Linked DNA regions of Macaca mulatta. The protein of the gene in region 3 interacts with the protein of the main gene of each other region in a biochemical or structural test. Links are inferred from orthologs where the notes say so. Each region holds a gene or a part of one and is shown on either strand. Other genes may lie near its edges.

The links.
Region 1: of the proteins of PTPRB (region 3) and MAPK3, one has a biochemical effect on the other in vitro, tested with the Homo sapiens proteins (2 studies listed by IntAct). The link is inferred for Macaca mulatta from reciprocal best matches to the Homo sapiens genes PTPRB and MAPK3.
Region 2: the proteins of PTPRB (region 3) and CNTN1 form a complex in vitro, tested with the Homo sapiens proteins (2 studies listed by BioGRID). The link is inferred for Macaca mulatta from reciprocal best matches to the Homo sapiens genes PTPRB and CNTN1.

What each region holds. Positions count from the first base shown.
Region 1 is NC_133425.1:28,444,757-28,448,389, forward strand, and holds the end of MAPK3 (mitogen-activated protein kinase 3), read left to right. Parts: intron 1-117; coding exon 118-227; intron 228-322; coding exon 323-445; 3' UTR 446-477; intron 478-2,405; 3' UTR 2,406-3,006; downstream 3,007-3,633.
Region 2 is NC_133416.1:47,834,795-47,838,448, reverse strand, and holds part of CNTN1 (contactin-1), read right to left. Parts: intron 1,120-3,654; coding exon 1,020-1,119; intron 884-1,019; coding exon 702-883; intron 1-701. UniProt on the Homo sapiens protein: Contactins mediate cell surface interactions during nervous system development.
Region 3 is NC_133416.1:77,650,762-77,654,415, reverse strand, and holds part of PTPRB (receptor-type tyrosine-protein phosphatase beta), read left to right. Parts: intron 1-2,609; coding exon 2,610-2,876; intron 2,877-3,654. UniProt on the Homo sapiens protein: Plays an important role in blood vessel remodeling and angiogenesis. Not necessary for the initial formation of blood vessels, but is essential for their maintenance and remodeling. Can induce dephosphorylation of TEK/TIE2, CDH5/VE-cadherin and KDR/VEGFR-2.

The DNA.
Region 1 (3,633 bases), on a different chromosome or scaffold from region 3:
CCCTGGGTGCCATGGAGGGTACGGGAGCCCAGCAGCAGCTGGAGGAGACAGGCAAAGTGATGCTTCTGGGAGCTTCTCCAGTCTTCCCTGTGACCCCTGACTCCTGCCCTTCTATAGCCCTTGACCTGCTGGACCGGATGTTAACCTTTAACCCCAATAAACGGATCACAGTGGAGGAAGCGCTGGCTCACCCCTACCTGGAGCAGTACTATGACCCGACGGATGAGGTGGGCCAGTCCCCAGCAGCAGTAGGGCCAGGGGCAGGGGGGTAAGTAGGCATCCCCCATGCCAGGCCTGAGCCTTGCTGTCTCTGCCACCCCAGCCAGTGGCCGAGGAGCCCTTCACCTTCGCCATGGAGCTGGATGACCTACCTAAGGAGCGGCTGAAGGAGCTCATCTTCCAGGAGACAGCACGCTTCCAGCCTGGGGCGCTAGAGGCCCCCTAACCCAGACAGACATCCCTGCACCCTGGGGCCTGGTGAGTGTCCCCATGGCCGGCACACAGATACGCTGATACTAAATACCTGTATCTATATCTATCTATATCTCTATCTGTATCTGTATCTATATCAATATCTATATCTGTATTTGTATGTGCCTCCATATAGCAGCAAGCTTACCCTGCACCCATGCTCGGTGTGTCTGGTGACAACAGAAGTGCCCGGGGGCTGGGTGCAGTGGCTCATGCCTGGAATCCCAGCACTTTGGGAGACTGAGACTGAGATGAGTGGATCACCTGAGGGTCAGGAGTTTGAGACCAGCCTGGCCAGCATGGCGAAATCCCATCTATACTAAAAATACAAAAATTAGCCAGGCACAGTGGGTCACTCTGGTAATCCCAGCACTTTGGGAGGCTGAGGCGAGTGTATCACCTGAAGTCAGGGGTTCGAGACCAGCCTGGCCAATGTGGTGAAACCCTGTCTCTACTAAAAATACTAAAATTAGCCGGGTGTGTAGGCATGCGCTTCTAGTCCCAGCTACTCAGGAGGCTGTGGTGGGAGGATTGCTTGAACCCGGGAGGCGGAGGTTGCACCACTATACGCCAGCCTGGGCAACAGTGAGACTCTGTTTCAAAAAAAAAAAGGGGGGGCCAGGCACAGTGGCTCACATCTGTAAGCCCAGCACTTTGGGAGGCCAAGGTGATGGATCACGAGGTCAAGAGTTCGAGACCAGCCTGGCCAACATGGTGAAACCCCGTCTCTACTAAGAATACAAAAATTAGCCAGGTGTGGTGGCGTGTGCCTGTAATCTCAGCTACTTGGGAGGCTGAGGCAGGAGAATTGCTTGAACCCAGGAGGCAGAGGTTGCAGTGAGTTGAGATCACACCACTGCACTCCAGCCTGGACTACAGAGCAAGACTCCATCTCAAAAAAAAAAAAATGCCCAAGTGCTGCCCAGACTCATGGCCCACCCAGTCCTCCAGCCCCAAATGTCTCCACCTGTCAACACCCTGCATCCTCCAGCCCCAGCAGCCATTCTAATCTCCTTCTGGGAACGGAACTGGTAAAGAGGCAAGAGGTCACTGAGGGGCCCTGTCACCCAGGCTTCGGCTCTGGGTGTGGCAGAAGCAGGTGGGGCCATGATTGCTTTGGGAGGGGCCCAGCAGCACCCAGCCTGACCCAGATTGCCAGGCCTCCTCACACCTGCTGCCAGATCAGCAGTTCACATAGCTGTGGGGACCCTGCTGGGCCTGCCCCCACCCACACTGCCTCCTTGCCTCCTCTGGTCTCTTCCTGTCTTCAGCCAGGTGTGGCCTAATAGGAAGAAGGCGTGCATACCTGGGCTCAAACTCCAGCTGTGCCACTTAGTAAGTGCTGTGTGATATTGGGCAAGGCACCTCACCTCTCTGCACCTCAGTTTCCTGGAGTCAGTTCTATTTATCTTTTTTTTGTTTTCGTTTTTTTAAGACAGTGTCTCACTCTGTCGCCCAGGCTGGAGTGCAGTGGTGCAATCATAGCTCAATGCAGCCTCAAATTCCTGGGGCGCAAGGGATCCTCCCAGCTGGCTGGACGAGCCATTGCAACTGGCTAATTTTTTTTTTTTTTTTAAAGTTGGGGTCTTGCTATATTGCCCAGGCCAGTCTCCAACTCCTGGGCTCAAGTGACCCACCCACTTCGACTTCTCAAAGTGCTGGGATTACAGGCATGAGCCACTGTGCCCAGCTGAGACTGTTCTAATAATGAAAGCATAAAACCCTAAGCATTGTTCTAAGAGGTTTACATGTCTTAATTCCTTTAATCTTACAGCAGTACCTCCAGCTAGGTACTATTATTATCTCCATTTACAGATAAGGAAACTGAGACCCAGCCTATCCAGCTGTGAGGGTGAGAGACGTTCAGGTCAGGGCTCCCGCGGGTCTGCCTGGGGTATGCTAATGACTCCTTTTCTGTCTGCTTCTCTCTTTAGGACCTGCCTCCTGCCTGCCCCTCTCCCGCCGGACTGTTAGAAAATGGACACTGTGCCGAGCCCAGACCTTGGCAGCCCAGACCAGGGTGGAGCATGGGCCTGGCCACCTCTCTCCTTTGCTGAGGCCTCCAGCTTTAGGCAGGCCAAGGCCTCCTCCCCAGCCGCCCTTCCCACAGGACCTCGGGGGCTCAGGTGGCCCCAGTTCAATCTCCCACTGCTGCTGCTGCACCCTTACCTTCCCCAGTGTCCCAGTCTCTGGCAGTTCTAGAATGGAGGGGCTCTGGCTGCCCTGACCTGCTGAGGGGCAGGGGTGGAGGGTGGGGGGCGCTGAGTAGGGACTCAGGGCCAGGCCTGCCCCCCTCATCTCATTTAAACCCCACCCTATCTTCCCTGAAGGAACATTCCTTAGTCTCAAGGGCTAGCATCCCCGAGGAGCCGGACTGGGCTGAATCCCCTCCCCGTCAAAGCTGTCACTTCGAGTGCCCTCGCTGCTTCTGTGTGTGGTGAGCAGAAGTGGAGCTGGGGGGCGTGGAGAGCCCAGCGCCCCTGCCACCTCCCTGACCCATCTAATATATAAATATAGAGATGTGTCTATGGCTGACCCTGGCTCTGTCTGTGTTTGCGACGCCTCCGCCCTGCCCCGTGCAGCTCTGAGGACAGACTCCTGCAGCCCAGCTGCTGCTTGACTTGGGCTTTCTGGGGCCTGGTGCCCTTCACTCCCAGCTGCCCAGGGTTGGGGACGGGGCTCTGGAGAGCTCCAGACTCCTAGAAAGAAGGGGGTCAATTTTCCCCTTAGTCACTGTCCTGTCCCCACGCTAATGGCTTCCTGTCTAACTGGTTGGGGGTGATTCAGGAGCACCCTACACATCCCTGGATCCTCTGAAACTGCAAGGGGTAGGCATGTTGGATGCGCTGGCTACAAGCACCAGTGGGAGGGAGAGGTCCTAACAATCCTGGGTGGTTTTTACTCCCCCGATGTGGCCCAGGACAGGGGGATGCTGGGGTCTGGGAAGGGCTTGGGGATGTGAGGGCCAGGGCTGCTTGCCTCATCTGATACTACCCCGGCTTCAGCTGAACCCTGCAGCCTGGCTCCAAGCCAGCCCAGCGGCAGGCTCAGCAGGTCCCACGGGCGTGGCAGTGGCCAGTAGTAGAGCCGGCCCACACCGGCTAGGCAGGCAGCACAGTCCCACGGACGGCTGAGTGTGCGGCTGCAGGAGCTTCTGTGGGA
Region 2 (3,654 bases), about 30 Mb from region 3:
GACCTGCGAGGTTCATGTTGTGGAACATTATAGTTTCAGTCTGGAAAGTTTCCAATGTGGCCTGAAAAAAAGTCTCTCTTCCCAAATGTAAGTTTATTTTAATGTGTGAAAATGAAAGGTTTGTGCCAAGATAATTTTGTCAAAAAAAAAAAAAAAAGAAGATTCCTTAGACCAGTGGTTCTCAAAGTGTGGCTTCAGGACCAATAGTAGCAGCATCCTTTGGGAATTTGTTAAAAATACAAATTCATGAACCCTTAACAGACCTCTGAATTAAAAATCCTGAGAGTTTGGCCCAGCAATCTGTGTTTTAACAAGCCCTCCATGTGATGTTGATGCATGCTTAAGTTTGCAAACCACTGACTTAAGTCATAACATATAGCTTCTTCTATAAATAAAAAGATACTGAAAAAAGACAGTGATAAAATGAGTAAACAAACTACATTAAGTGTATATTCTGAAAATTACCAATAACACTTCTATTGATCCATTTCTATGGTTCAATTGGTAATAAGTTCATAACTTCTATAACTCATAGTTGTGACTTCATTAGACATATGAGAAATATTTTATCATTCTCCATGATGTAACATATATCACTGTTCTTAAAACTATTAATCATTATATGGTAGTTTTTCAAGTATGGAAATGGTTTTAAATAAGATATTGATGAAATGTATACAAAATTAAAATAATATATCTACCTTGAACATAAATTCTTGCTTGATGTTTATCCTTTCCTCTAATGTTCTCAGCCTCACATTCATAGATGCCTTCATCTTCTAGCTGAATATTGAAGATCTTAAGAACAGCCCCAGAGGTGCTAATCTCAGCAGTGCTTGGCATTGGTTCTAGAACCTTCCGCCATCGGATATCCGGAACAGGACTTTAAACAGAAGATACCAGTGCTAAAGTTTCACACACTTAAAAGACAATTACTTTATGTTTACAGCTAAACAATTATTTATTTCCTAAAATGGTACTATTTCTATATATATTAATGAAAGTGTCAGTATACTTACTTTCCAAGTGCAAAACATTCTAAGGTCACATTTTGGCCCATCAGTGCATATACATCCTTGAACTGAACTACAATATCAGCAGGATATGGTTTTGTTGTTCCTAATATTAAGAGAAACACAAATGTTCACTAATTATTAGGCACAATAGTAGTTACTCTTAAACATGGTAATTCTGTAGGATTAGAGCTGCTTCAATATGGAAGCTTTTCTCTGTACAGGTACTGGTCATATCATAATGGATAGACTTGTTTGTTTATGCACAGTATGAATATAGTATAACTCCCCAGCTATATTGGCTCATTCTGACAGCTGCATAACCAATGTGACTTAATTTACTTAAAAAATTCCTGTTTTGGCCGGGCGCAGTGGCTCAAGCCTGTAATCCCAGCAGTTTGGGAGGCTGAGATGGGCGGATCACGAGGTCAGGAGATCAAGATCATCCTGGCTAACACCGTGAAACCCCGTCTCTACTAAAAAATACAAAAAAAAACTAGCCGGGCGAGGTGGCCGGCGCCTGTAGTCCCAGCTACTCGGGAGGCTGAGGCAGGAGAATGGCTTAAACCCGGGAGGCGGAGCTTGCAGTGAGCTGAGATCTGGCCACTGCACTCCAGCCTGGGCGGCAGAGCGAGAGTCCGTCTCAAAAAAAAAAAAAAAAAAAATTCCTGTCTTTAGTGAACAACAGATACGTGGCAAACATTGTGATCACTGCTGCATGGAACTCAGGAAGATAGAGAAAGAAAATTAAGGAGAAGGAAAGAGAAGAAGGAGAAGAGAGTAGAAAAGAAAGATGCAAGGCAAGAAACTAAGGAGAAAAGAAATGCCCAGAGATAAAGGCAAAGGGAAACAAATTGAAAAGAGAGAAGGAGAGAGGGAAAGAAGGAAAACATTTACTCAGACAACACAGCACTCTTCAAAATAAACACTTATTTAGCATATCAGTCCTGAAAGATGTGTTAATCCTTCAGGCTTACAGAGAAAATCAGGTTCAGAAAGGTGAAAGGCATTATTTAGGAACACAAATTGAGTGTGTACCTCACACTGTAAAATACTAAAGAGACAAATAAATAAATAAATAATGATATATAACCCAAACCAAAATGGGTACTCTGAAAGAGTGACTGATGAGGAGGGTAGTTAGAAGTACGTAAGGGCTATAGGACTCTGAGGCAAATATGGCATTTAAATTCGACCAGTTCAGGTTGAGCAAACAGCATATTATGACAAAGCTCCAGGAGTGTGCAAGGAATTTTAAAAGGTCTAGGAACTCAAATGATGCTGAAGTATATGAGCTGGAACCCACAATCTAGAAGGACTGAAAAAATGATAGAAAGATTTTGAGACGAATTTTCTCAATAAGTAATGTATTAGTCTGTTCTCACTCTGCTAATAAAGACCTATCTGAGACTAGGTAATATATAAAGGAAACAGGTTTAATTGACTCATAGTTCCGCATAACGGGAGGTCTCACAATCGTGGTGGAAGATTAAGGAAGAGCAACGGGAAATCTTACATGGCAGTGGGCAAGAGACAGCATGTGCAGGGGGAACTCCCCTTTATACAACCATCAGATCTCATGAGACTTATTCACTACTACAAGAACAGTATGGGGGAAACAGCCCCCCATGATTCAATTATCTCCACCTGGCCCCGCCCTTGACAAGTGAAGACTATTACAATTCGAGGTGAGATTTGGGTGAGGACACAGCCAAATCGTATCAAGTAACTACCACTGGGACTTGGTAAGAGAAGTAATATGGATCATATCTTTGGTTTAAGTCAAAGACCTTGTTGGCATTTTTAAAGGATGGAGCATGGAGAGGAGAAATATATATAGAAGACAATCTCAGAGGTCCATAAAACGCTGTTTCAACACTTTAGGCAAAACAGGTGAGGGCCAACACTAGGGCATAGTTACAGTGAAAACAGAAATAAAATAGTAAATATAAATTGTATTTTAGAGGCAGAATCAACAGGACGGCTCCTTGGATCAATGTTTCTCAAGGTGTAGATTAAAGGCTCAATCATCAGAATCACCTAGGATACTGGTTCAACTTGTGGATTCCTGGGTCACATTCCAGGCCTGATGAATCAATACGTCTGGGTCCTGCATTATTCCCAAAACTCTCCAGGTGCTTACATACTAATTAAGAGCCACTGGGTTAGCTGTACCGAAGATCAGTGGAAATTGGGATTTGATAATAAATCATGCTACCTTGAGTTATTAGAAATAAAATTGTGTTGCTAAATAAGCTAAAGAAAAGGAGAAGGTTTGGGGGAGAAATAATGTGTATTTGTGACATTTTGAGCTTAACGTCTTTGAGAGCTTTTTGGGGGGACAAGTCCAGGATACAGGAAGAATTGAGATCTAAACACAAGAAAAATTTCAGAGCTGTGAACTTGAAGTCTCCTGCAAAGGTATACTGTTGAAAATGTATAAGTGGGTGAGAATATCTAGGAAAGATTAGAGGAAAATATAAGAAAGAAGAATATTTTGTGAAGAATATTCTATGAAATTTGTCAGAGAGGCAGAAGGGAGATGAAAAGTTCAGGAAATTAGGTGAAGAAAGAAAACTTCATGAAAGGCAGAAGAGGCAGTGTCAAAGCTCGAACAGAATAAGGACTGCAAAGTGTCCTT
Region 3 (3,654 bases):
TTGAGGCTAGCCTGGACAACACAGCTAAATCCCATTTCTACTAAAAATACAAAAAATTAGCCAGGCGTGGTGGCGCACACCTGTAGTTCCAGCTGCTTGGGAGGCTGAGGTGGAAGAATCACCTGAGCCTGAGAGGTCAAGGCTGCAGTGAGCCGTGATCATGCCACTGCACTCCAGCCTGGGTAACCAGAGTGAGACCCTGTCTCAATAAATAAATAAATAAATAAATTTTAATATGGAGACTTCCATAATTATGCATTTTTCAAAAGTTCTACCTTTTAAGAACAAGTACACATCTGTGCCATCTACTTTACCTGGTAGAGCTAAAAAAAATAAGTATCAAATGTATAAATAAATCTGTTTATATCAATATCACTATTAATGTATTATTTTTGAAAGATCTCTAGTAATACTATAGTCCTCTTACAGATGAGGAAAGTATGGCTCAGAAAGTTTATGAAACAGTATCAAGGATACATATATAATAAGACCTAAAGCTATAATTCAAGTCTAGGTCTGTCTGGCCCCAAACCTCATGCCCTCTCCACTGTGACACAATACTTTTTAGATGCCTCCCATTCTCATGACCACTTATTTAGCTGCGGGGCCTGAGGTTTCTATACCATGCCCTACTATGCCTCTATTTCATATCTATGTTTATATCTTTATCTGCATATCTTTAACCCTATGACAAACCCTGTGTTAGAAAGTGGGCATTTGGCTGGGCGCAGTGGTTCATGCCTATAATCCCAGCACTTTGGGAGGCTGAGGCGGGTGGATCATGAAGTCAAGAGATTGAGACCATCCTGGCCAACATGGTGAAACCCCATCTCTACTAAAAATACCAAAAAAAAAAAAACAAATTAGCCGGGCGTGGTGGTGCAGACCTGTAGTCCCAGCTACTCAGGAGGCTGAGGCAGGAGAATCACTTGAACCTGGGAGGTGGACGTTGCAATGAGCCAAGATCATGCCACTGCACTCCAGCCTGGTGACAGAGTGAGACTCTGTCTCAGAAAAAAGAAAGTGGGCATTCAGTAGCAAGGCAGAGCCCCTGACCTCAAGAACGTGATAATCTAGTGAAGGAGACAGAAAAGTAAAAGGCAATGACAGTAAAACATGGTAAGTGCTAAGATAAAAGTGGTTATGAGATGTTAGAGGAGCAAACAAGAAGAATCAGGGAAGGCTTTCAGGAGGAAGTAATATTTAAAGAAAGACTAGGAAGTCATCCAGGTGAAGTGTAAGTTGACTTGGTTCCATCAGAGAAAACAAAGCCCTGGAGGTAGGAGAAAGGATGGCACATTTGGGGACCTACACCTTATTTGGTATACTAGAATAAAGGCCGGGCATGGTGGCTCATGCCTGTAATCCCAGCACTTTGGGAGGCCAAGGTGAGTGGATAGCCTGAGTCTAGGTGTTCAAAACCAGCTTGGGCAATGTAGCAAAACCCCATCTCTACTAAAAGTATAAAAAACAAAAGTATACTAGAATAAAAAATGTGAGCCGTGTGGCCAGGTAAGTAGATAGACCAAATCACGAAGAGCTTTGTTTGCCTGTGAAGGTGTTTTGGAATTATGGAGAGCAACTGCAGGGCCATCAGCATGGGAGTGCTATAAAAATATGCTAGATAGAGTCTGCAGATTGAAAGAGTGGGAGGAAAGGACGCAAGTGACTGGTCAGTAGGCAGCTGCAATAATGTATGGTCTCATTTATACTTGCTAAAGGATATGATATGGTTCTGAGGTAGTGGCAGCACACAGAGAGTGGCTAGATTCAAGAGATAGGAGATTTAGGATACAGAAATAAAACTCATATTTGATTATATAGACAAGGTTGAGAGTGACAATTGAAGTTTCTGACTTGAACCAAGAGATAGAGACAAAAGGCAATGAGAACATTGTGGGAGGGAGATGAGGAGTCCAATTTGGACGTGTTGAGTGTTGGGTGTCTGTGGTACATTCAGGGAGAGATGTGATTTGCAAAAGCAGGAGAAACAACTAAAAGTTTAAATTCAGGAGTTGTCACCTTATGGGTGACACTTCAAACCATGGACATAGATGAAATCTAAGAAGATTATGTAGAATGAGAAAAGAAATGAACATAGGACAGAAAATATTATTATAAAAACAGTAATACTATTTTGCCTTTCACTTCAGGAGCTATAGAACAAATACTAGTATATACTACCGCTGAAGTCAAGACTTGAAGTTTTGACCTTAGTTAATGTTAGTAATAAAAGTCTAAACAAGAAACATAATTCACTATCAAACCCACATTCACTGAATATGAACTTGCTCAGCATCCTTCACTTTCTAGACTCATAGGTATGCACCACTCTGCATATTTATCAGGCCATTTTCACTAACTTTTCTATCTGAGATCCTATTTAAATTCAGAGAAAAAAATGGAGAATCAAAGTAGTTTTACAGACAGGTTAAGCCAGGAAATCCTTTCTCCTCTTTTCTCCATAAGGGCACACAGAAAGTATCAATGCCACACAAATAAAGCAAACGCATCATCTACCTGCAGTTGATTCAGGAGTTTTTCTCAATTGATTACTTTACCCTAAGTGATAAAATCTGTATTTTGTTGCTCCACTTGTCTCTCTGCAGTTCCAGCATCTGTCCAAGGAGTAATTGCAGACAATGCATACAGCAGTCATTCCTTAATAGTAAGTTGGCAAAAAGCTGCTGGTGTGGCAGAAAGATACGATATCCTGCTTCTGACTGAAAATGGAATCCTGCACAACACATCAGAGCCAGCCACCACTAAGCAACACAAATTTGAAGATCTGACACCAGGCAAGAAATACAAGATACAGATCCTAACTGTCAGTGGAGGCCTCTTTAGCAAGGAAGCCCAGACTGAAGGCCGAACAGGTAATTAGCACAGCATAATGTTTTGAAGCACATATTGCCAATGTCTACTATTGTGTAAGAACCACAGGGCAAGAGGGATGACGCAACATTGGGAGATGGTATCCATCTCTTGATACGCTGGGAACATTCACCCTGATTTGCCACTTCCATGTCGGTTGCCCTATCCACACAGGACTCAGCCCACCACACTCTGATTCTGATTTTTCATTAATATTGGTGCTATTAGCTTCCTATTGCTACTGTAATAAAATATCACAATCTTAGTGGCTTAAAACCACCCAGATTTATTATTTTCTAGTCCTGAAGGTTAGAATCTGAAAAATAGTTTTTGGGGACTGAAATGAAGACATCAGGGCTGTGTTTCCTGTAGGGACTTTCGGGGGAGAATCCACTCCTTGCCTTTTTCAGCTTCTGAGGCTGCCCACATTCCTTGGCTCGTGTCCCCTTCCCAACGATGACATTGCTCCAATCTCTGCATGGGACCTTACATCTCTTTCTCTGCTCTCCTGCCTCCCTCTTCCATCTTTTAAGGACTCTTGTGATTACCTTGGTCACCAACTGGACAATCCAGGATAATTCCTTCGTCTCAAGATCCTTAACTTAATCACATCTACAAAGCCCTTTTTGCCACAGAAGGTAACATATTCACAGGTTCTGGGGATTAGGACATGGACATCTTTGGGGCTATTCAGACAACCACATTGGCCTAATTGATTGATAACTTATTTAGTCAGTACATAGGTCTGAAGGCGGGGATGGTTATGTTGACAGGGACATA